Linked DNA regions of Saccharomyces cerevisiae S288C. The protein of the gene in region 2 interacts with the protein of the main gene of each other region in a biochemical or structural test. Each region holds a gene or a part of one and is shown on either strand. Other genes may lie near its edges.

Region 1 (4,849 bases), on a different chromosome or scaffold from region 2:
GTGGATCTGAGTCAATTCTATTCAATAAATTAGAAAGCATCGCGGAACAAGAAACTCCAAAGACACCGGTACTGGGATGTGGTATTACCTATTCACTTATGAAGAAAAATCTGAGGGCGAATTCCTTTCTACCTTCAAGAATCAATTGGGCCATCCAGTCATCTGGAGTGGATTATCTACATCTTCTTTGTTGCTCCATGGAATATATTATTAAGAAATATAACCTTGAGGCAAGGCTTTGCATTTCCATCCATGATGAGATTAGATTTTTGGTGAGCGAAAAGGACAAATACAGAGCTGCTATGGCTTTGCAAATCAGCAACATATGGACGAGAGCAATGTTTTGCCAGCAAATGGGGATAAATGAATTACCGCAAAACTGTGCCTTTTTCTCGCAAGTAGATATTGATTCTGTCATACGTAAAGAAGTCAATATGGACTGCATAACCCCCTCGAACAAAACCGCCATTCCTCATGGGGAGGCGCTTGATATCAATCAACTGCTAGACAAATCCAATAGTAAATTGGGTAAACCAAATCTCGATATCGACAGCAAAGTATCACAATATGCCTATAACTACAGAGAACCTGTATTTGAAGAATATAATAAATCTTATACTCCAGAGTTCTTAAAATATTTTCTTGCGATGCAAGTCCAGTCAGATAAGCGCGATGTGAATCGGCTAGAAGATGAGTATCTGCGGGAGTGTACATCCAAAGAATACGCTAGAGATGGGAACACTGCAGAGTACAGCCTCCTAGACTATATAAAGGATGTCGAGAAGGGCAAAAGGACTAAAGTACGTATTATGGGATCCAATTTTTTAGATGGTACCAAAAATGCCAAAGCTGATCAACGAATCAGATTACCTGTCAATATGCCAGATTATCCCACACTTCATAAAATTGCTAACGATTCAGCAATCCCAGAAAAGCAATTGCTGGAGAACAGGAGAAAGAAGGAAAACAGGATAGATGACGAAAATAAGAAAAAATTAACCAGAAAAAAGAATACCACGCCTATGGAAAGGAAGTACAAAAGAGTGTATGGTGGCAGGAAGGCATTTGAAGCGTTCTATGAATGTGCAAATAAACCGTTAGACTATACTTTGGAGACAGAAAAACAATTCTTTAATATTCCTATAGATGGAGTGATTGACGACGTTCTGAACGACAAATCTAATTATAAAAAGAAACCATCACAAGCAAGAACGGCATCATCATCGCCAATAAGAAAGACTGCGAAAGCAGTACATTCCAAAAAATTGCCGGCAAGGAAGTCAAGCACTACAAATAGAAATTTGGTTGAGCTGGAAAGGGACATTACTATTTCTAGAGAGTACTAGGCAAAATCTGCATTAGCTTTCGCATTTGTATTTATATATACAGCACATTATAATATTATTTTTTTATTTATTTCTACTTACTTTTTTTCGCCAAATGAGAAAACAAAAGTAAGTTGCCCCTATTAGAAAAAGAGTTAACATTAGGAAACGGGGACAAAACAAAAGGTAGAATTCAAAATAGGAATTCAAAACCCAAATTATCTGCATCTTCTCGTTAGCTAAGATTTTATAGATCATTGCAGGCTCGATAAATTTTACATGGTAACGAAACATGTCGTTTGATTGGCTTAATGTTCCGGGATTGGACTTAAGCAGCGGGGACCAAGCAGAAAAGAGGCCATCGAATGGATTAGGACCACCCAGTGTGTCTTTTGATTTTGGTATAAATACTGCTGCTCCACATGATTCCAGCTTTTGGGATCAGGGATCAAGAAGTCACAGTGATACAACTTTGTCTTACAGAAATAATCACTCAAATACAGCAGCTGATAATGCCACTAACGTGAGCTCTCCTCAAAAGGATAATCCACCTAATGGGGAGGTACGAACACTTTCTGGAGGCGATGTGTACGCGGAGTCACCAGAAGACATGCAAGTCCCATTGTCTTTATCACAAAACCAACTTACCCATGAAGAAATAAGGACATATCTAAGATGGTACCACTATATATGTTTGAGAACCCATGGAAAACTAGTAAGATTGAACGACGTGTTTAGGTTCTTGACCAATTTTAATTTATCACAAAAAGTAAAAGATAGAATTGTGGAAATTTTCCGTAGCTGTAAAAATGCGTTAAATATTGGTCAATTTTTCGCTGTTTTAAGATTAGTTTCTAGAGCTATTATATATGGCATCTTACCTCTAAGACGCATGATCTTGGAAAAGGCACCTGTTCCCAAACCACGTCCTATCCTAAGTAGTGAGAATCACGAAGAGGTGTACGAGGAGGTGGAAGACGATGATAGTTCTGCCAAAACTGGTGATCAAAAGGTCGATTTTGACTCATTTGCTTCATTGCTGTTGACTGGTAAGACAACGAGAAAAAGAGTCAGGAGAAGAATCAAAAATTTGAATTTTAAGAGTAAGAAGGTTAGGTTTTCAGAGCATATAACATTTCAAGACCCTCCAAACCTCAATCAAGAATCATCTAATAATAGTGAAGCAAGAAAGCAAGATCCTGATGCAGAAGATGAAGATCAGGATTCTAATAATGACAGTCCTTTGGATTTCACATTGCCCATGGATCAATTATTAAAGAGGCTATATAAGCGGAGAAAAAACAGCGGATTAGTTTCGAGTTTGCCCAGCGAACAACAAGAAACTGAGGAGGAGAAGAAAGTTTTGGAGGATATGAAGGATTCCTTGTCCCATTTCAAACAAATACAGACTGTTGATTCTGCCTCATTGCCAATTTCATCGGTATTTTTACAGAATGGCAATACTCTACCAACTAGCAATGTGAATAACACCACTGTTCCACAGCAACTTCCGTTAGAACCTTTGAAGCCAACCGCCACAGGTTCAGCTAATCACCTGGTGCGAGAAGAATATAATCAGGGGTTGCATCCAAGCAACGGTGCCATCCAAACAGGTTTACAACCTTTAAAACCAACAGCAACGGGCTCTGCAAATTATTTGATGCGAAGTCATATGGAACAACCTCAGTCTATCAAACCTTCGAGTACACCAGAAACAGTTACAAACTCTGGGGGACTTCAACCTTTGAAACCTACCGCCACAGGTTCTGCAAATTACTTGATGAAACAGCATATCTCACCTTCAGTTAATAACCCAGTATCTTCGATGTTTCAGGCGCAATTTACGAACCAATCTTCATCTCCACAAAGTACAGGACCAGCATTTCTGAATTCTCCGAACATTACTCTTCCTCAAAGCAATCAACAGCAACCTTACCAAGAGGTTAATCCGACTCAAGCGAAAATTGAACCATCTAACATATCGCCTCAACACACCTACTCTAACAATGTTCGGATTAATAATGGTAACATCGTATCCATGCCGAAAGTAGAAATAACTGGTGCATTCCCCCCTCAAAACACTCTTCCTCAACATCAGCAATCGCATTTGCTTTCTCCTCAAAATACGATCCCGCAGCACCAACGGTCGCAATTGATATCTCCACAAAATACCTTCACTCAAAATCAGCCCATTCTTTCTCCGCAACATACTTATTCCAATAATCAAGCAACAATGATATCCCCCCAGAATACGTATACTAATAATCAACAGCAGCCCCAACATCTTCCACCTCCTCCACCTCCACGCGCTCAGCAGCAGCAACAAGGGGCCATTGTGCCACCTCAACATATGTACTCTAACGTGCAAAAGCAGAATAATTTGGTGCCGACCCAACCCTCCTATACAAATTCACCAAGCATACAATCTCCAAATTTTTTGTCACCTCAGAATGCTGCTAATAGTTACTTTCAATCTTTACTTTCTTCTTCACCATCTCCAAATCCTACGCCATCAAATGCGTCTACTGTTAATGGCAATAACGCCAGTAATGGCATAAGTTCATTCCAAAATACTAGTGCGGCAATGAACAATACTCAATCTCATCAGACGTATATTCAGCAGCAACAACAACAACAAACTCAACAACGAATATATGGTGGCCAACTTTCTCAAATGCAACAACATCCGGGGCAACTTCACTTAAACAACAGTGATATACATAGCCAACCTAACAAGCCTAATTACGGAATGCTAGGGCAGCAAGTTCATCAACAGCAACAGCAACAGCAGCAGCAATTTCCATTCACTGCAGATGTTAATAGATCCAATTCAAGCGATATTTTGGGTAACTTGCAGTCATTGCAGCAGCAAGTCGATGCTTTACAAATCCAATATAATAGGAGACCATAGTATCGTAAGCTAAACGAGGTGTATAGTTTTGAAAGATAATATATGTAGGTATATGTGTACATAAAGTCACAAAAGTGATGTAATTTATGAACACCTGTTTACTAGCATTATTTATTGTCTTGATTATTGAGCTAGTCTTTTAGTTTCACCAAACATTTAGCAACATGGCGTAAACCTCTGAACAATAGTTAACTAATTTTGCATATACAATGAATGTAGCCAGTAATATTTAATTATTTCTTTAATTTTTTGCTTTTCTTTGGAACCCGCACCAGCCAGTATAAAAATATTGCTGCACAATAGTCAAAGACAATATATGCACTAAAAATGCCATAGTTCATCCATCTACGTGAATACGAAGAACTCACAGTCGCCAGATAATCATTGGTAGAACTGAATTGACAAAAGTGACATTCAGTTTCGGAACTCCCATCGAGCAGATAACCCGTCCCGGTGGATTGCATATAAGGTTCCATATATTCCGAGCATGTCATACCGCTTGGAGGAACAATTTTTAAAAGTTCGTTGCTGGAACAAACGACACTAGCATTGGCCAGTCCTACCGATAGCAGAGCATCAATGAGGTATGTCAGTGGCGATACTCTATACATAA
Region 2 (4,829 bases):
CAAATATAACGAACAAATTGTGGATTCCATGGTTTATAGGCTGTTCAGAGAACCACAATGTTTTGATGTGATAGTGGCACCAAACCTATACGGGGATATATTATCTGACGGTGCTGCTGCTTTAGTCGGTTCATTAGGTGTTGTTCCAAGCGCCAACGTAGGTCCAGAAATTGTCATTGGTGAACCATGCCATGGTTCTGCACCAGATATTGCTGGTAAAGGTATTGCTAACCCAATCGCCACTATAAGATCTACTGCTTTGATGTTGGAATTCTTGGGCCACAACGAAGCTGCCCAAGATATCTACAAGGCTGTTGATGCTAACTTAAGAGAGGGTTCTATCAAGACACCAGATTTAGGTGGTAAGGCTTCTACTCAACAAGTCGTTGACGACGTTTTGTCGAGATTATAGAGCATATAATAGGAAAATAGAAACGAATAAATAAATGAATGAGTGACAAGATATATTTCAAAAAATTTCAAATGATTGACGAAAGAAAATTTGTACATTTTGTATGACTTTTAATATTACATAGTCTATTATGTGTGAGAGCAAGTTTTAAACTTTGCTGGGAAACCTTTTTCTAAAATCGGCTTCTAAATCATCTACGTTAACATCAACAATAGTTTCTGTGGCTTCGCTGGAAATTCTTTCAATCGGCAGTTTCTTTGATTGTAAACGACTAAAGTTTCTTATCTTCTGAATTTCTGTCCTTAAATGTAGTGGTTTTGGTGGTGGACGTGGTGGTCTTGATTTATCTTTACCGTTGCTTTTCGTTTTGATGTCCAAAACACCATCCTTAAGGGTTTTCTTAAACTTTTCTTCTGTGATTGGTGTTATTCTTACACTTGAATGTCGATTGGAAGTTTCTGTACCAATATCTGTATATTTACCATACCCGGATGCGGATTTATACGTTACCGGATCATCAGAACTCTTTAGTAAGTTATGCACTCTTCTTTGAATTGATTCCTTCTTTTCTTGATTTATATTAACGTTGCCATTATCTGGTATCAAAGTAGGCTTTGATGTCGTTTTAGCTGATGCTTGAGTTTTCTTCACTGGAGAATGAGACCTGTAATAGTCCCTTGATCCAGTTCTCGAGTTATTCCTCTCATGCTGGTCAAAATCTGATAAAATTGAAGGAGGCATACTGCGACGTTTTTCCAGTCTCTGATTCTTGTCTGATTCCTCTTTTCTTTTGGTATCAGAATTAAATTTAGGAAAGGAGGAGGTTGAAGACGAAACTAATCGCCTGTTTGTATTGTTACCATTGCCGTTGACATTGTTATTATCAAAGGAAGCAGACCTGCTATTGTTCACTGAGTTTCCTGTAAACCCATGACGAAGCTTACCAAATGCTGATCTGATACTATCACCAGTATTTTGCCTTGATTTAATCGGAGAATTGCCGCGAGATTCACCAGTAATAACCTTTTTTAACTTAGAGCTTAGTGAACGCACAATCTTGCTTCCATTTATATTATCTGGAGCAGCAATTTCTTTTGTGGAGCTTAGTGATTTGCTTGTAATGGTGGGAGATAGTTTTAAGTTTGGCACAGCCATGTTATCTATAGTTTGCGTCTCAGAATCAACGTAGTTATTTGGACGATTTATTGCCGAAACTCTATCAAAAATGTCATTATTAACAGGAGTAAGCGATAATGGAGGCATAGACTTCCTTTGTGGGGATTGGAAACTTTCTACTGATTTGAAAGTCTGAGACTTTTGAAAAGGGTGTAGCTCTTTATAATATAGTGATGCAAATTCATCAGAAAGTGGAACGGATTTTGTTTTCATTAAGGGACTAGTCAAATTTGAATGGCTTCCAACCTGTAAGCCAGCATGCGCCGTTACTTCTGTCTTGTTATTATCATTAATAGATATAGGGAAAGTACCCAAATTAGGAGTAGTACTGACGTGAGTTACAGGCATCATATTTGGTGGCTGGTTGATGCTCTGAAGGCTTTGTACGGGAATAAATTTCTGTGTTGGAACATAAGTTGTCGAAGACGGTTCACCGGCCAATTGGGTATTCGCATTCTGATTCATTGCTCTTAACAAGTAAAAATTTCTAATCGGGCAAGGCTTATTCTGTAACCTGGAAACCTCCTCTAAAACTTGACAAATATTTGGCCTCTGAGATGGTGCTTCCATTAACATAAGACGTATCAAATTTTTCAACCTGTCACTATACTGCGGAAAGGATGGATATTGATACCTTGCATGTAGTATACCGGCTTCACCACTTTTTTCAAACGGCGTAGTATAGTAACATATTTTGTAAAGAAAGACACCAAGAGCCCAAATATCAGATTTTTCGTCGATAGGTAACCCTCTGTACAGGTCAATCATTTCAGGTGATCTATACTGAGCTGTAGTATTTGTTAGGATGTCGTGTTGAACATAATTAAACTCTTGAGTATTTCTAGGTGGCCTTATCACACCGGAAACGGAACCAAAATCACAAACTTTATACAAGCCATCATGAGAAATAAGTACATTCTCAATCTTAATATCTCTATGAATCAATGGCGGCTGCAGAGCGTGCATTGCAGTTATACCTTGGACGGTTTGACTCATAATTTCTAATATTTCAGATTCTTGTAATCTATTTTGTAATCTGGTGTTCATAAAATCTATAAGACCTCCACGTTCACAAAATTCCATTAACACAAACACCTCATATGCTATACCATTTACAGACCTTGCAGCATGTGAATCTATGTAAGAAACAACATGCTTATTATTTCTAAGGAGTTTCATAGCATCCACTTCAGCTCTCAAGGTATTTAAACCCTGTTTATGGGGGACAATGACTCTTTTCAAGCATGCTATGTTAGCATTGCTATATGGGTCAGGAGGGGAAATTTCGGCAGTATATACTTGTGCGAATCCACCACTCGTAAGGTATTTGATAATCTTAGCATGATGAGATCCCACAGTTAATATTGTCCCGGGTTCATACAGACTAATCTGTGGAGTATTCATTGTTTTTGGATCAGTTCAACTAAAGATAGGAGGTTACAAATAATCTTGATCAACACTTCAATCAAAAAAGATTTTTTTCGCTGAAGATAATAAACTATCCCACAATGGAAATTCAACCTGTATTAGCGAACTAACTTATGTTCAAGTGGAGCCTGTGACCTGCCTGCTTGGTGACTTTTTTAGCGTTTCCTAAATGTACTGTTCTATATTTTTCTTTTTCCAAGACCTTCGCTCTGCATACGCCTGCCTGGTTATAATTACAGTTTTTTTTAAAAACCTTTACTAAGAATAAATAGTAACAGCTAGTGCAAACTAACGACATTGACATTTACTTGATATAAAATAATTGAGAGCGATCATATATATCGGAAATCTCTATCAGTACTAATATTAAATTTACATGAAATACTTCAACAAATTCCTGGTCTCTTGGCCCAGTTGGTTAAGGCACCGTGCTAATAACGCGGGGATCAGCGGTTCGATCCCGCTAGAGACCACTTATTTTTATGACTTCTTGGAAGTCAATTTTTTTTTCCTTCTGAATCAGTAATAACAAAAGTCGTAGTTGATCTTGTTATTGGATCATGTACATCAGTATTATTAATGATTTTAGTATTTCAAGCTGGCTCCCATATTTTTCTCCTGTAGAAAGAATGTAAATTATTCGGAAAAAAAAAAAAAAAAAGAAAAGAATTGGCGATGCGATGAGCTTAAAAGAAAACCTTCCATTACTTAAATTCATTGGAGCCTGACAACGTTTAGTAACGTTAAAATCATAGATTAACACCAATCATAACCTAAAATTATCAATGGCCAGGAAATTGAAGGGTAAGATTGGGAGTAAAGGCCTAAAAGGTGCATTATTAAGGCACAAGGCCAAAGTGAAATTAGTGAGGAATATTGAAAGTAAGCAAAAACATGAACTAAGAAAGAAAAATTCGAGCGCTAATAACAAAACCGTGAAGAGAAACCAAGAATTCCAAAAACTTAATCAAGGGAAGGTTATGCCCTTTGAGAAGGATGAAACTTTGATGCTATGTGGTGAAGGAGATTTTTCTTTTGCCAGATCCATTGTTGAACAAAACTATATTGAAAGTGACAATTTAATCATAACAAGTTACGATAATTCTGTGAATGAGCTGAAATTGAAATATCCGCATACTTTTGAGGAAAATTACCAGTACTTAAAAGATCTAAATATTCCGATATTTTTCCAGATTGACGTTACGAAGCTCGTAAAGAGCTTTAAAATTTCCAAAAATAATACTTGGTTTAAAATAATCAACAGGCTTAGCGATCATCGTTGGGGTAACAAACCTTTACAAAATATAGTTTTCAATTTTCCCCATAATGGAAAAGGTATTAAGGATCAAGAAAGAAATATTAGAGAGCATCAGGACTTAATTTTTAACTTTTTCCAAAATTCCTTACAATTATTTAATCTTATAAACACGAAAATTCAAAATGATACTCTTCGTTATACGCAAGGCTATGATCTTAATGAGGATACTCCCCAGGCTAAAAAATTGACCGCCGAAGGTTATGGTAACATCATACTGTCCCTTTTCGATGGAGAGCCCTATGATTCATGGCAAATCAAACTTTTAGCCAAAAAAAATGGACTAACTCTGAGCAGATCGAGCAAATTCCAATGGGAAAATTTTCCAGGATATCATCACCGGAGAACGAATAGCGAACAAGATACTACAAAACCTGCGAAAGAACGTGATGCTAGGTTCTACATCTTTAGTAAATATGTCTCGAATAGTTCAAAACATAACCGTAAAAGCAAAAAAGACACAGATTCTGATTCAGACTAAGTACAGAAGGAAGAATG
Region 3 (6,629 bases), 180 kb from region 2:
CAAAATAACAATGAACAAAATTCAGCAAATCAACGATAAAGAACTACAAAGTGGAATTCTTAGCCCGCATCAATCATGGCATAATGAATATAAGGATAATGCTTATATATATATCGGAAATCTCAACCGAGAATTAACAGAAGGTGACATATTGACAGTCTTTTCTGAATATGGAGTCCCTGTAGATGTAATTCTTAGCAGGGATGAAAACACAGGAGAATCGCAAGGTTTTGCATATTTGAAATATGAGGATCAACGGTCAACGATTCTAGCAGTCGATAATTTAAATGGATTTAAAATTGGCGGTAGAGCCCTCAAAATTGATCATACTTTTTATAGGCCAAAAAGGAGTTTACAAAAATACTATGAAGCTGTAAAGGAAGAATTGGATCGAGATATAGTTTCGAAGAACAATGCTGAGAAACTCATTTTGGCTAAAAAGGACCAACCAAATTAAATAATTTTTTCTTTCATCGCATATCTTATATTCATATAGCCTAGAAAAAAATAATCAATATCATATTTGTAATTCTACATCCTTTCAGAAATTAGTATACATACGTATCTATAGAAAGCAAATTAAATCTTCATGGAAGGGGTGGGGGTGGAGGAATACCTGCAGGTGGAATTGATGGGATACCTGCAGTAGAAACTGGTTGTGCCCCTTCTTCCTCTTCATCTGTACCAACTGATTCAGGAATCGATAAAACGTCATCATCAGAATCGGATCCATATGCGCCCGTGCCTTTTTCAGCACCATTGTAGTTATCAACGTGAGCGATAATAGGTTCTGAAGTGGAAGCTTGTTGAGTTGGTAAAGGTGGGGGTGGAGGCAAAACGCCTCCAGCTAAAGCTGGGGTGGAAGAACCCGATTTTTGCACGGCAGTAGCTATTGCAGGTGCTGAGGGAATTGGAGGTTCTTGAAAGCCATCAACAGCAGGCAAAGGGGGAGCCAACGGGACGGGTGGCTCCTGAGTAACAGAAGGTGGTATCGGAGCTATTGGAATAGGACTACTCTTTTCATTAGAGGTATTCGCCTGAGGGACAGGGACAGCAGGTGGAACAGGGGTAACAGACGGCAAGGGAGCAGCAGTAACAGGTGGAGCACGTGCATGATCAGGATGACCAATCTTTGCTTCTTCAACCTTATTATCTACAGCTACGCGGTTATTACTCTCGTCTTCATCAGACCATCCATCATCCTCGTCCTCATCCAATCCTCTTTGGATTCTTCTTTGCATTTCTGCAGCGCGAGCATCGAAAGTAGATGTAGAGCTAGCTGATGCATCCTTGAAGTATGGATTATGGCCCATTGTCGTGGAAGGCAGACCAGTACTGTTCTTACCTGCGGCAGGGGTAACAGCAGCGTGTACCGAGCGAGGAGCATTAGTAGAATTTTGCGAAAAAGCTGCAGATGGTGCCACTGGAGCGGCCTGAGGAACGTTCACATGGCCGCCAAAGTTGTCTTTTCCGTTTGTCTCCTCTTCGTCACTTTCATTTTGAGCATCCTCAATTTGCTTACGTAAAGCTGCAAGTCTTTTTTCTTTATCAGCCTTTTTTTTAAGTTTCAATCGTTTTAGCTCCTCTTGTAAACGCTTTTCTTCATCATCTTCATCTTCATCATCGGATTCTTGCTTTGCATTATATACATTCTGAACAGGTTGAGTTGGTTGAACAGGTTGAGTTGGCTGAACAGGTTGAGTTGGCTGAACAGGTTGAGTTGGCTGAACAGGTTGAGTTGGTTGAACAGGTTGTGTTGATTGAACAGGTTGAGTTGGTTGAGCGACTTCCACATATTTTTCTTCTTGGAATGGAGTTGCTCTAGGTTCAACTAAATTGGAAGAACCAGCAATCTGTTGTGGCTGTTCTCGAGAGTTTTCACTGCTAATCGATCTGGAACTTTGAGTAACATTTCGCCTATTCTTATCAAATTTAGCTAATTTTTCCTTCATTCTCTTTTTTGCCTGTTCTTTCAGATAAGCTGCTCTTTCTTCAGCAGTTTTGAACTGAGAATAAGAAGGCGACGAGGAACGGTCATCTACAGGGGTTGGTGTTGAGGAAGGCACAAAGGGAGATGACTCAGTCACTGATTTATTTGAATTTGACTTCAGATCATCCAAAAATTCACGAACACCATCTTCTAACCCTATGCCAAATTCCCATCTTTCAAATTCTTGATTGGATATCATATTCGATCCTGTCATAGTAGACTTCAAGGATGCAGAAATATCTGATATAGATGACCTTATGTCTTTAATGATTTCTTGGTTCTTACCATTTTCCTGCTGGATTCTCTTGATTTCAGCACTTTGCTGTTCATCTTCCATGGAAAGTGAATCCTCCGATTCCGTTGATTTTCCTGTTAGAGCAGACATCCTTGCTCTCAACAAAGCCCTACTCTTAGCTTTCTTCCTATCATTTTCAGTTATTTCACCATTTGGACCAGATCCAATTATCGAAGAAGGATTTTTTTTTCTATACAACTGAATTTTTGCATTGGTAATCTCATTATCAATTGTAGAAATTTCATTGAATAGGTTTGGAAGTTTGGCGATGATGGCATCAAAGCGGCTTGTCAAATCTGATGGAATAGAACTGTCATAACAGTTTTCAGGATTGCTGATATTTTTGATCTCATTTTCCAGTGAAGCAATATTTTTCAGATTTATTTCTCTTGAAAACCCAGCATATTTTGGTTTCGCTGTCTTCTTTTCAACAGTCTTATCTACCGAAATGTCATCGGTTTGAAGGGTGCTGCTAGAATGATTAACAGATTTAGCAGATGGTGAAGAAAAAGAAGATTGCTCTTCATTTTTCGCAGAGTAAACCTTCCTACGATTTCTATAGTTCGGCAAAACATCATCATCATTATTTTTGTAGCTCAAGGCATCGATTTTACCAAACGAAGGTTTTTCTTTTGTGGTCGTTGGCTCTGTCTTTAATTGGTTCTTTAAGTTGTCTAAAAGTTTTGTGCTGGAGGGAATTAAACTTGAAGGTAGGACATTGGGGATTGGCTTCCCGTTTAATTTACCGTAAACCAAGTGCATACCTAGTGCAAATTCTTGTTTATTCAATTGGCCGGTGTTGTTTATATCACAAAGGTTCCAAATTTGCTCCAAATCTGCACGATTTAAGCCAGATTTTCTAAAAATCTCCACAGCAGTGGGGGAATCTAACAAACCTTTGTTTTGAGTATCAAAAGTTTCAAAAATTTTATAAAACAAAGATTTTTCCTCCGTGGAAATTTTGTCTTGACTTGAGTTATCAATTAAGTTATTATTAAAGTTGGATTTGGTATAAATTTCGTTATTACCAAATCCTGTCTTTTGGGCAGTCAACGGCATGGTAGCACTAAAGTTAGATGGTGGTAGAAAACCCGTTGGTTGGGGTTGCAACCCGGTTAACTGAGATTGTAATCCTTGTTGATTAAAGGACAAATTGGGCATACTTGCAGGACCGCTTTGCTGGGGCATAACGGAACCATATCCTCCGGTATACTGAGATTGCAAAGCACCGCCGGTCAACTGAGGTCCTAAATTAACGCCAAATGAAGTCTGTGGCATCATACCAGTTGTCTGTGGCATCATACCAGTTGTCTGTGGCATCATACCAGTTGTCTGAGGTTGCAAAGCATTGCCAGTAATGTTGGGTTGCATAGAGGCAGGTGCTCCTCCAGTAATTTGGGGGTTCAATCCGGGAGTTCCGGTATTCATTGACATGTTGAAAGTGGTTGGTGCCATAAATCCTGTGGATTGAGGATTCAACGCCGAGGCAACACCGCCTCCAGTAATTTGAGACTGTAATGGGATACCAAAACTAGTTTGAGGCATATATCCTGTTGGTTGAGGTTGCAAATTTTGTACGCCCGCTGTAATGAATTCATCAAAGGGAGTTTTTGGGGCATCGTTTGCGGAAGAATCCTGGTTTGCAATGCTTAAATTAATGGCGTCAATAAAACTTGAAACTTCGTTTTTTGTCTTAGAATCCAATTCGTAAGGGATAGTGTCACCTTGTAAGACATCATTGATCAAATGCATTGCTAATGCAAATTCAGGAAACAGTAACTCACCTGCTTTTGATGTATCACAAAGCGTCCAAATTCTTGCGAGTTGAGAAGGTGGCAAACCGGATCTCATCAAAATTTTCCTACAATTAGCACCGGAAACAGTATTCGAACCATTGGTAACAATTGATCTGAATAGAGTCTCAAATTTTGCCTGATCTTGGGCAGTAATAAACGACAATCTAATGGCAGGGATTTTGATATCATTGTTTAGACCGTTGTTGGCAAATGAGTTGACAAAGCCAGTTGCGGTGGGCTTTAATGGTTCTAAGGGAGCTTGGTTTTGCGGTTGAAGGTAAAATCCTGTTTGCTGCGGCTTCAAAGGTTGCAAGGACTGTGCTTGCTGAGGAGGTGGCACCTGTTGAGGTTGAGATTGATAATAACCAGTGCCCTGGGCCTGAAGGGGCTGCTGGGTTTGATTAGAAGAGATCAAATTGGGTGTAGACACATAATATCCTGTCCCTTGAGATTGCAAAGGTTGTACTGAGTGTACATTTGCAGTATTAGCAGCTTGGTAATAGCCTGTTCCTTGGGGTTGTATGGATTGTAGCTGAGGCTGTTGAGCCGGATTAGGTGGAGGCATGGTGCCAGTAGTATTCATCATAGGCATACTGGAATTTGGTACGTATCCCGTATGCTGCGGTTTCGCCTGCTGTTGTTGCTGCTGGGGTTGTTGGCCAAAATTACCATTACCATATACACTACCATTATTTCCATTATTATTGTAACCCGTTTGGGGCTGCTGTGGCATACTTGAGAAAGAATTACCAAAACTTTGAGGCATCCCACCAATTCCGGTAGCCTGAGGCTGGTTAAACGCCATTTGCTGTTGTGGTTGAGGCTGGCCTTGGGGCTGGTTTGAAGACTGACCTTGCTGCTGCTGCGGGTAGAATCCATTTGGTTGTTGCTGCTGTTGCTGCTGTTGCTGCTGGTAACCCATGCCCTGTTGCTGGTACGGGTTATACATATTCAGTTGTACAGATTAGCAATTTCGCGTCGCTGATAGATTCTTCCTCTTCCTGCTTCTCGACGTGTGTTTCGCCAATAGATCTATATGGCTTTCTAATGCTTTTTTTCTTCCAATACCAACTTTTGCCCCTAACAAGAAAAAAATATCGTCGACGTGTCATGTGATCAAGCCAATTTATAATAACAAGCGATTGATAAACAGAGTATACATAGCTACTATGCGACTGAGAGATCAATCGGTTATCGTGAGCACCTACCTTTAAGGTTTAACAGATCTGGACGTGATTTTTTTTTTTTTTTTTTGACGAACCAGATTGTCAAATAAACATTGTTAATTGATGAATTTTTAATATCTGCCCAATTGAAGCATAAAAAGCGTCTTAGGAAAGCATTCGTTAAATATCTCTACTGTTGGTAAGCAGGTACTTCAGTAAAAAACCATATTAAACCCAAAATTATCAAATTAGTAGTACATAAGATCGAAGTAGAAAAAATATAGATTATAATCCGATATAGTGTAACGGCTATCACATCACGCTTTCACCGTGGAGACCGGGGTTCGACTCCCCGTATCGGAGTATGTTTATTTTATTTTTTTCATATCCGCTCGAATATTGCCTTCGTTTAAGGTTTCTATATCTCTGGTAAACCTTAACAATGGAATTAATATTAATTCTATATTTCGCAATAATTCTACTGACAGTTATTTTCTTAACCTTTCTTCTCTTTTTTTATTTATTTATTTCTTTTTCTTTCGTACCTAAATTGTTTGAATTTAATAAGAACAGATCATATGCCTGCCAAAATACACATTTCTGCAGACGGTCAGTTTTGCGATAAAGATGGCAACGAGATCCAATTGCGTGGTGTCAATTTGGATCCGTCAGTTAAAATCCCTGCAAAGCCATTCCTATCCACCCACGCTCCCATAGAAAATGACACGTTTTTCGAGGATGCTGATAAAGTCAGTTTCATCAATCACCCCTTAGTTCTTGATGATATCGAACAGCATATCATCAGATTGAAATCACTGGGTTACAATACCATTCGTTTACCCTTCACCTGGGAATCTCTTGAACATGCTGGTCCAGGACAGTACGATTTTGACTATATGGATTATATCGTCGAGGTACTAACCAGGATTAACAGCGTACAACAAGGTATGTACATTTATTTGGACCCTCACCAAGACGTCTGGTCTAGGTTTAGCGGTGGATCTGGAGCACCGCTATGGACCTTATACTGTGCAGGGTTTCAACCTGCAAACTTCCTGGCCACCGATGCTGCAATCTTACATAATTATTATATTGACCCCAAAACGGGCAGGGAAGTTGGCAAAGATGAAGAGTCCTACCCTAAGATGGTTTGGCCTACAAACTACTTCAAACTGGCGTGTCAAACAATGTTTACGTTATTCTTTGGTGGGAAACAATATGCTCCTAAGTGCACAATTAATGGAGAAAACATACAGGATTACTTGCAAGGAAGGTTTAATGATGCAATCATGACACTGTGCGCAAGAATTAAAGAAAAGGCTCCTGAGTTGTTTGAGAGCAACTGCATTATTGGATTAGAGTCTATGAACGAGCCAAACTGT
Region 4 (3,806 bases), on a different chromosome or scaffold from region 2:
CCTGAGTAGCACTTTCCTTCAACCTTTTATGATATCCGGATCGATTATGGAAGACCTTATTAGGAATGCCGTTAGATATGGCTCTGAGAAGCCTCATATATCACAAGATGATCTCAATGATGTGGTAGACACTGTTTTAAGGAAATTTGCAGATTACAAAATTTAGAAGAGCCGCATAAGGAAGAAAAGCATGTGCCAGTTATGAACATAAATACATTTAGAGTTTGCCATGCATGTACTGATTTATTTACTTTGATCAACTCTTTTTTACATATTTATATATATTCATTTAAATAAATCATCAATCAATTTTTCGACACAGACACTGAATACTTGAAATACCAAGAAAAGGATAACTATCCTCTAACGGCGCTCAGTGAAATATTATATTTTGATTGCTTGTTCAACAATTGTGCCTTATTAACTTATTACATTTATATATAAGTTTATATTATTCCATTTCCATTTTTCATTCGTAGATTTAAACTTTTTTATTAATTCTTTTGGATCAATAAAGTTCAAATCTATCTTGGACCAAATTTAGTCATTGCAGATGGCCCGCTTTCTTGCCATTCTTGCTTAGACAACCACATGTGGTCTTTATCAGCCATGATACTAGCTAAAACGGCACCACCAATGAAAACCATATGCTTTCTCCTTGGAGGATCTTCAATTCTAACTTTGAATTTATCAAGTCTTGAAGGGTCATTGTGTAAAACTCTACTAAACCATAATTGTTTCAATTCTTTCTCTAATCTCGAAGGCAGCCCTGGGTACATACTTGAACCACCTGAAAGAACAATGGCCTTATACAGGGAACTTCTGATATCAACATCAGCCGATTGCACAGTATTAAATAACAGCTCGCCCACGCCAGGTTGTTCAACGTCAACCAAACCAGGTTGGAACAAACATTCTGGTGCTTCAAATCTCTCTTGTCCCACTTTGATTGTCCTGCCATCTGGTAACTCATACGATTCCACAAGGGCGGTTGTTTCTCTAGCCAATTTTGTATCTAGGTCTAAATCATATGAAACATAACATAATTTTTCCTTTATCTGACGCACAGTTTCGAAATCTGCAGTTCTGTTAAATGCATAACCACGACGAGAAAGCAGATCAATCAAATGCCTAGTAACGTCTCTACCCGCAACATCTAATCTTCTTGTTAAGTGGCTCAAAACGACAGATTCGTAAACTGGGACTATATGAGTAACACCGTCACCGGAATCGACGACGACTCCTGAAGACAAACCTTGTGCGTACAATGCTAGAACAGCTTGGATGGCAACATAAACTCCGCCAAAATCGTATTTTTCGAACATTACCTCACACATTTTTTCCCTATTTTTCAGCGGATTCATTGGAGGTTCCGTTAGTAAAATCTTACCGTTGGAGGTGGATGGTAGTTTCATTTGCTCGAAAAAGGCGTAATCCCAAAGAAGTTCCATATCTGTCCAATTCTTAATAATACCGTTTTCCATAGGATAAGATATTTGCAGATAAGAGCGAACTTCACTTGCCTCATCACCAATCATAATGTCCTTTAATGGTGTAGCAACGCTGGCACGTTCTTCCGCCCTCAAGATGGGTCTACCAACAATAGAAGGAAACGTGTAATCTGGGAAATTCTCGCCAGCACGACCAATTTTGACGAAACCAGTACCCTGATCAAGGACTATATCGAGATGGTTAGTATTAATAATATAGGGGTAAAAGAACTAAAATGCAAAAGAGGCAAAGCCAAAAGGGGCACCGAGCTCAATTGCCTCCACAAACACTAAAAATATCAACAACATACCAATTGGATTATGTGGGTCCATTATTATTATATAGTTTTGTTAGTTTATTACTGTGATTTGTCTTCTGGTACGTATATTTAACTTTCACGTCCGTTTTCTTCCATTATATGGGTCCTCAAATTGTTTTTCGCCTTTCAATTCTACAAGACGGGTAATAAGGTCATTACTAAGAATAGTATAAATACATACAACTGCTATCTATCAAACAAATATACATATCACAGAGAGATTTCACACCAAACCTTGCTTCTTAAGTTCATCGTAGACCTTCTTACTCATTACATTTCCTTCTTCGTCTTCTTCTTCTAGTTCTAATTCTGTAGGAACTTTTAGTTGTGAAGGATTAGGCTTTGGGGGAACTGCTGCAATAGATGTCAACTGTGACTGCCCCTGCATATTTTTCCAGAGCTCTTGTGCCTCCTTAATTTTGGTTATGCCCTTGAATACTGAAGAAGGTTCGATACCAAGGCATCGCAAGTGATAAATATGTCTTTCTTCGTTGAAATGTCTTTCAAAAGTGCGTCGCCCATTATAAACTTTATTCGAACAAATTTCGCAGCGATACTCTCTGTCAAGCCCATGCAGTTTGTATAGCCAGTATGGCATAGGCAATCCATCCGGACCCAATGGCATGTCAAACGATTTACCAGAGAGGTGCTCTTCTTGCAGTTGACCATCTCTCTGCTCACCATCCACTTGTTCGGCCCCCTCTTTTTCCGTCGAATCATATGCAGGTGCTTCATACTTCTGTGTTAAGATATCCATTTCTGCCATTCTTTCATTTGCAGTAAATGCCAGTTTTCTTTCAACAAAACTTCTCGTTCGAGAAAATTCATCATTTAAATATTTCAAATACCGATGCAGTTTATATTCAGAGTACACAAAATTTCTTCTTTTAGATTCATTTTTCTTATGAATTTTCCCTACTAAATGGCTTTCGAAAACGGAAGATGTCTTGAACCACCTCGAACAAAAAGGGCAATAGATACCTTTTGCCTCGGACCGAAGAGATCCCCTACAGTATGAATGTTCGAAGTCAGATTTGATTAGATTTTCAACTGCCGCAGCGTCAAGCAAAGCATAACTTTTGAAGAAAAAAGTTTCTACATATTTGCTCAACTTTAGCAAAAAGGCCATGTATCTATCATTCTTGCGATCCATCGGTGGGGTTAGCAAATATTTCTCGTCGTCCAAAAATAATTCTAGGATGTCGAGAAATTGAAGCAGTGAACAATCGCCCCGTTTAATTACATTCAACCATAAAGAATGAAATTGTTCCAGCTCCATATATTCACCATATTGCTCATCTCTAGTAAATATTTCATTTAAGTCTAGGTCTCGAGCTCTGTCAGACAATATATTTGTGCGCCTCGATGGATCAGAAGAAGATGAGAATAAAGCGTATTTGTCTTTTTTAGAGTTGATATCCAATTCAAAGTTCTCATCTTCATTTTTCAGTTCCTTCTCTAGCTGTTGTAGTTTTCTTTCGAAATTAGGCAAATCCTTGTCATCCTCCTGTGTCTCTTCTGGACGATTGATTTTATTAAAAGTTTGTTGTTTCTCTTGGTAGTCTCGAAGAAAAATATTTATCTCATGTTGCTGCAAAATTATCTGTTTTCTCTTCCTCTTAACCTTTTTAAACTTGTATATTTTATTCTCTGCAATCAACGATGATCTAGGCAGTTTAGTATCAGGAAACACCTTGCTCGATTCTTGTATATAGTGGTAATATAACTCTGGATTCCGCTGAATTCTTTCTGCTATGGCATTTTCAATAATCTCCATCTCCTCCAACAAGGACCTCCTTGTTTCAAGTAAATTCATTGAGATGATGCCCTCCTACTCCTATTAAAGCAAAATTAAATGAATGTATACACCCTCGCTTGGCTCACCGAAGGTTCTTGATCTACCGTATAACTAAGTACTTTTTATTGCACTTCGTCAGCCGATACTTAACACTTCTTTGTTGCCTCATCGGAAAGTTAGAATAAAATGCGCTACAAA

What was found.
Region 1: of the proteins of PRK1 (region 2) and SCD5, one has a biochemical effect on the other in vitro, tested with the Saccharomyces cerevisiae proteins (one study listed by BioGRID).
Region 3: of the proteins of PRK1 (region 2) and PAN1, one has a biochemical effect on the other in vitro, tested with the Saccharomyces cerevisiae proteins (4 studies listed by BioGRID).
Region 4: the proteins of PRK1 (region 2) and ARP2 form a complex in vitro, tested with the Saccharomyces cerevisiae proteins (one study listed by BioGRID).

Annotation. Positions count from the first base shown.
Region 1 is NC_001147.6:936,118-940,966, reverse strand, and holds SCD5 (Scd5p), read left to right. Parts: upstream 1-1,617; coding exon 1,618-4,236; downstream 4,237-4,849. Other genes in the region: DNA-directed DNA polymerase gamma MIP1, read left to right, coding at 1-1,346; ATP-binding cassette multidrug transporter PDR10, read right to left, coding at 4,470-4,849. UniProt on the Saccharomyces cerevisiae protein: Regulates both fluid phase and receptor-mediated endocytosis. Involved in vesicular transport at a late stage of the secretory pathway. Regulates actin cytoskeleton organization.
Region 2 is NC_001141.2:182,100-186,928, reverse strand, and holds PRK1 (serine/threonine protein kinase PRK1), read right to left. Parts: upstream 2,993-4,829; coding exon 560-2,992; downstream 1-559. Other genes in the region: LYS12 (homoisocitrate dehydrogenase), read left to right, coding at 1-412; BMT5 (25S rRNA (uracil2634-N3)-methyltransferase), read left to right, coding at 3,802-4,812. UniProt on the Saccharomyces cerevisiae protein: Protein kinase involved in the regulation of actin cytoskeleton organization and endocytosis. Phosphorylates PAN1 which disrupts the interaction between PAN1 and END3, and between PAN1 and SLA1. Phosphorylates SCD5.
Region 3 is NC_001141.2:364,879-371,507, forward strand, and holds PAN1 (actin cytoskeleton-regulatory complex protein PAN1), read right to left. Parts: upstream 5,031-6,629; coding exon 588-5,030; downstream 1-587. Other genes in the region: U2 snRNP complex subunit IST3, read left to right, coding at 11-457; EGH1 (hydrolase), read left to right, coding at 5,826-6,629.
Region 4 is NC_001136.10:397,357-401,162, reverse strand, and holds ARP2 (actin-related protein 2), read right to left. Parts: upstream 1,824-3,806; coding exon 1,802-1,823; intron 1,679-1,801; coding exon 525-1,678; downstream 1-524. Other genes in the region: serine/threonine/tyrosine protein kinase MPS1, read left to right, coding at 1-166; SF3a splicing factor complex subunit PRP9, read right to left, coding at 2,034-3,626. UniProt on the Saccharomyces cerevisiae protein: Functions as ATP-binding component of the Arp2/3 complex which is involved in regulation of actin polymerization and together with an activating nucleation-promoting factor (NPF) mediates the formation of branched actin networks.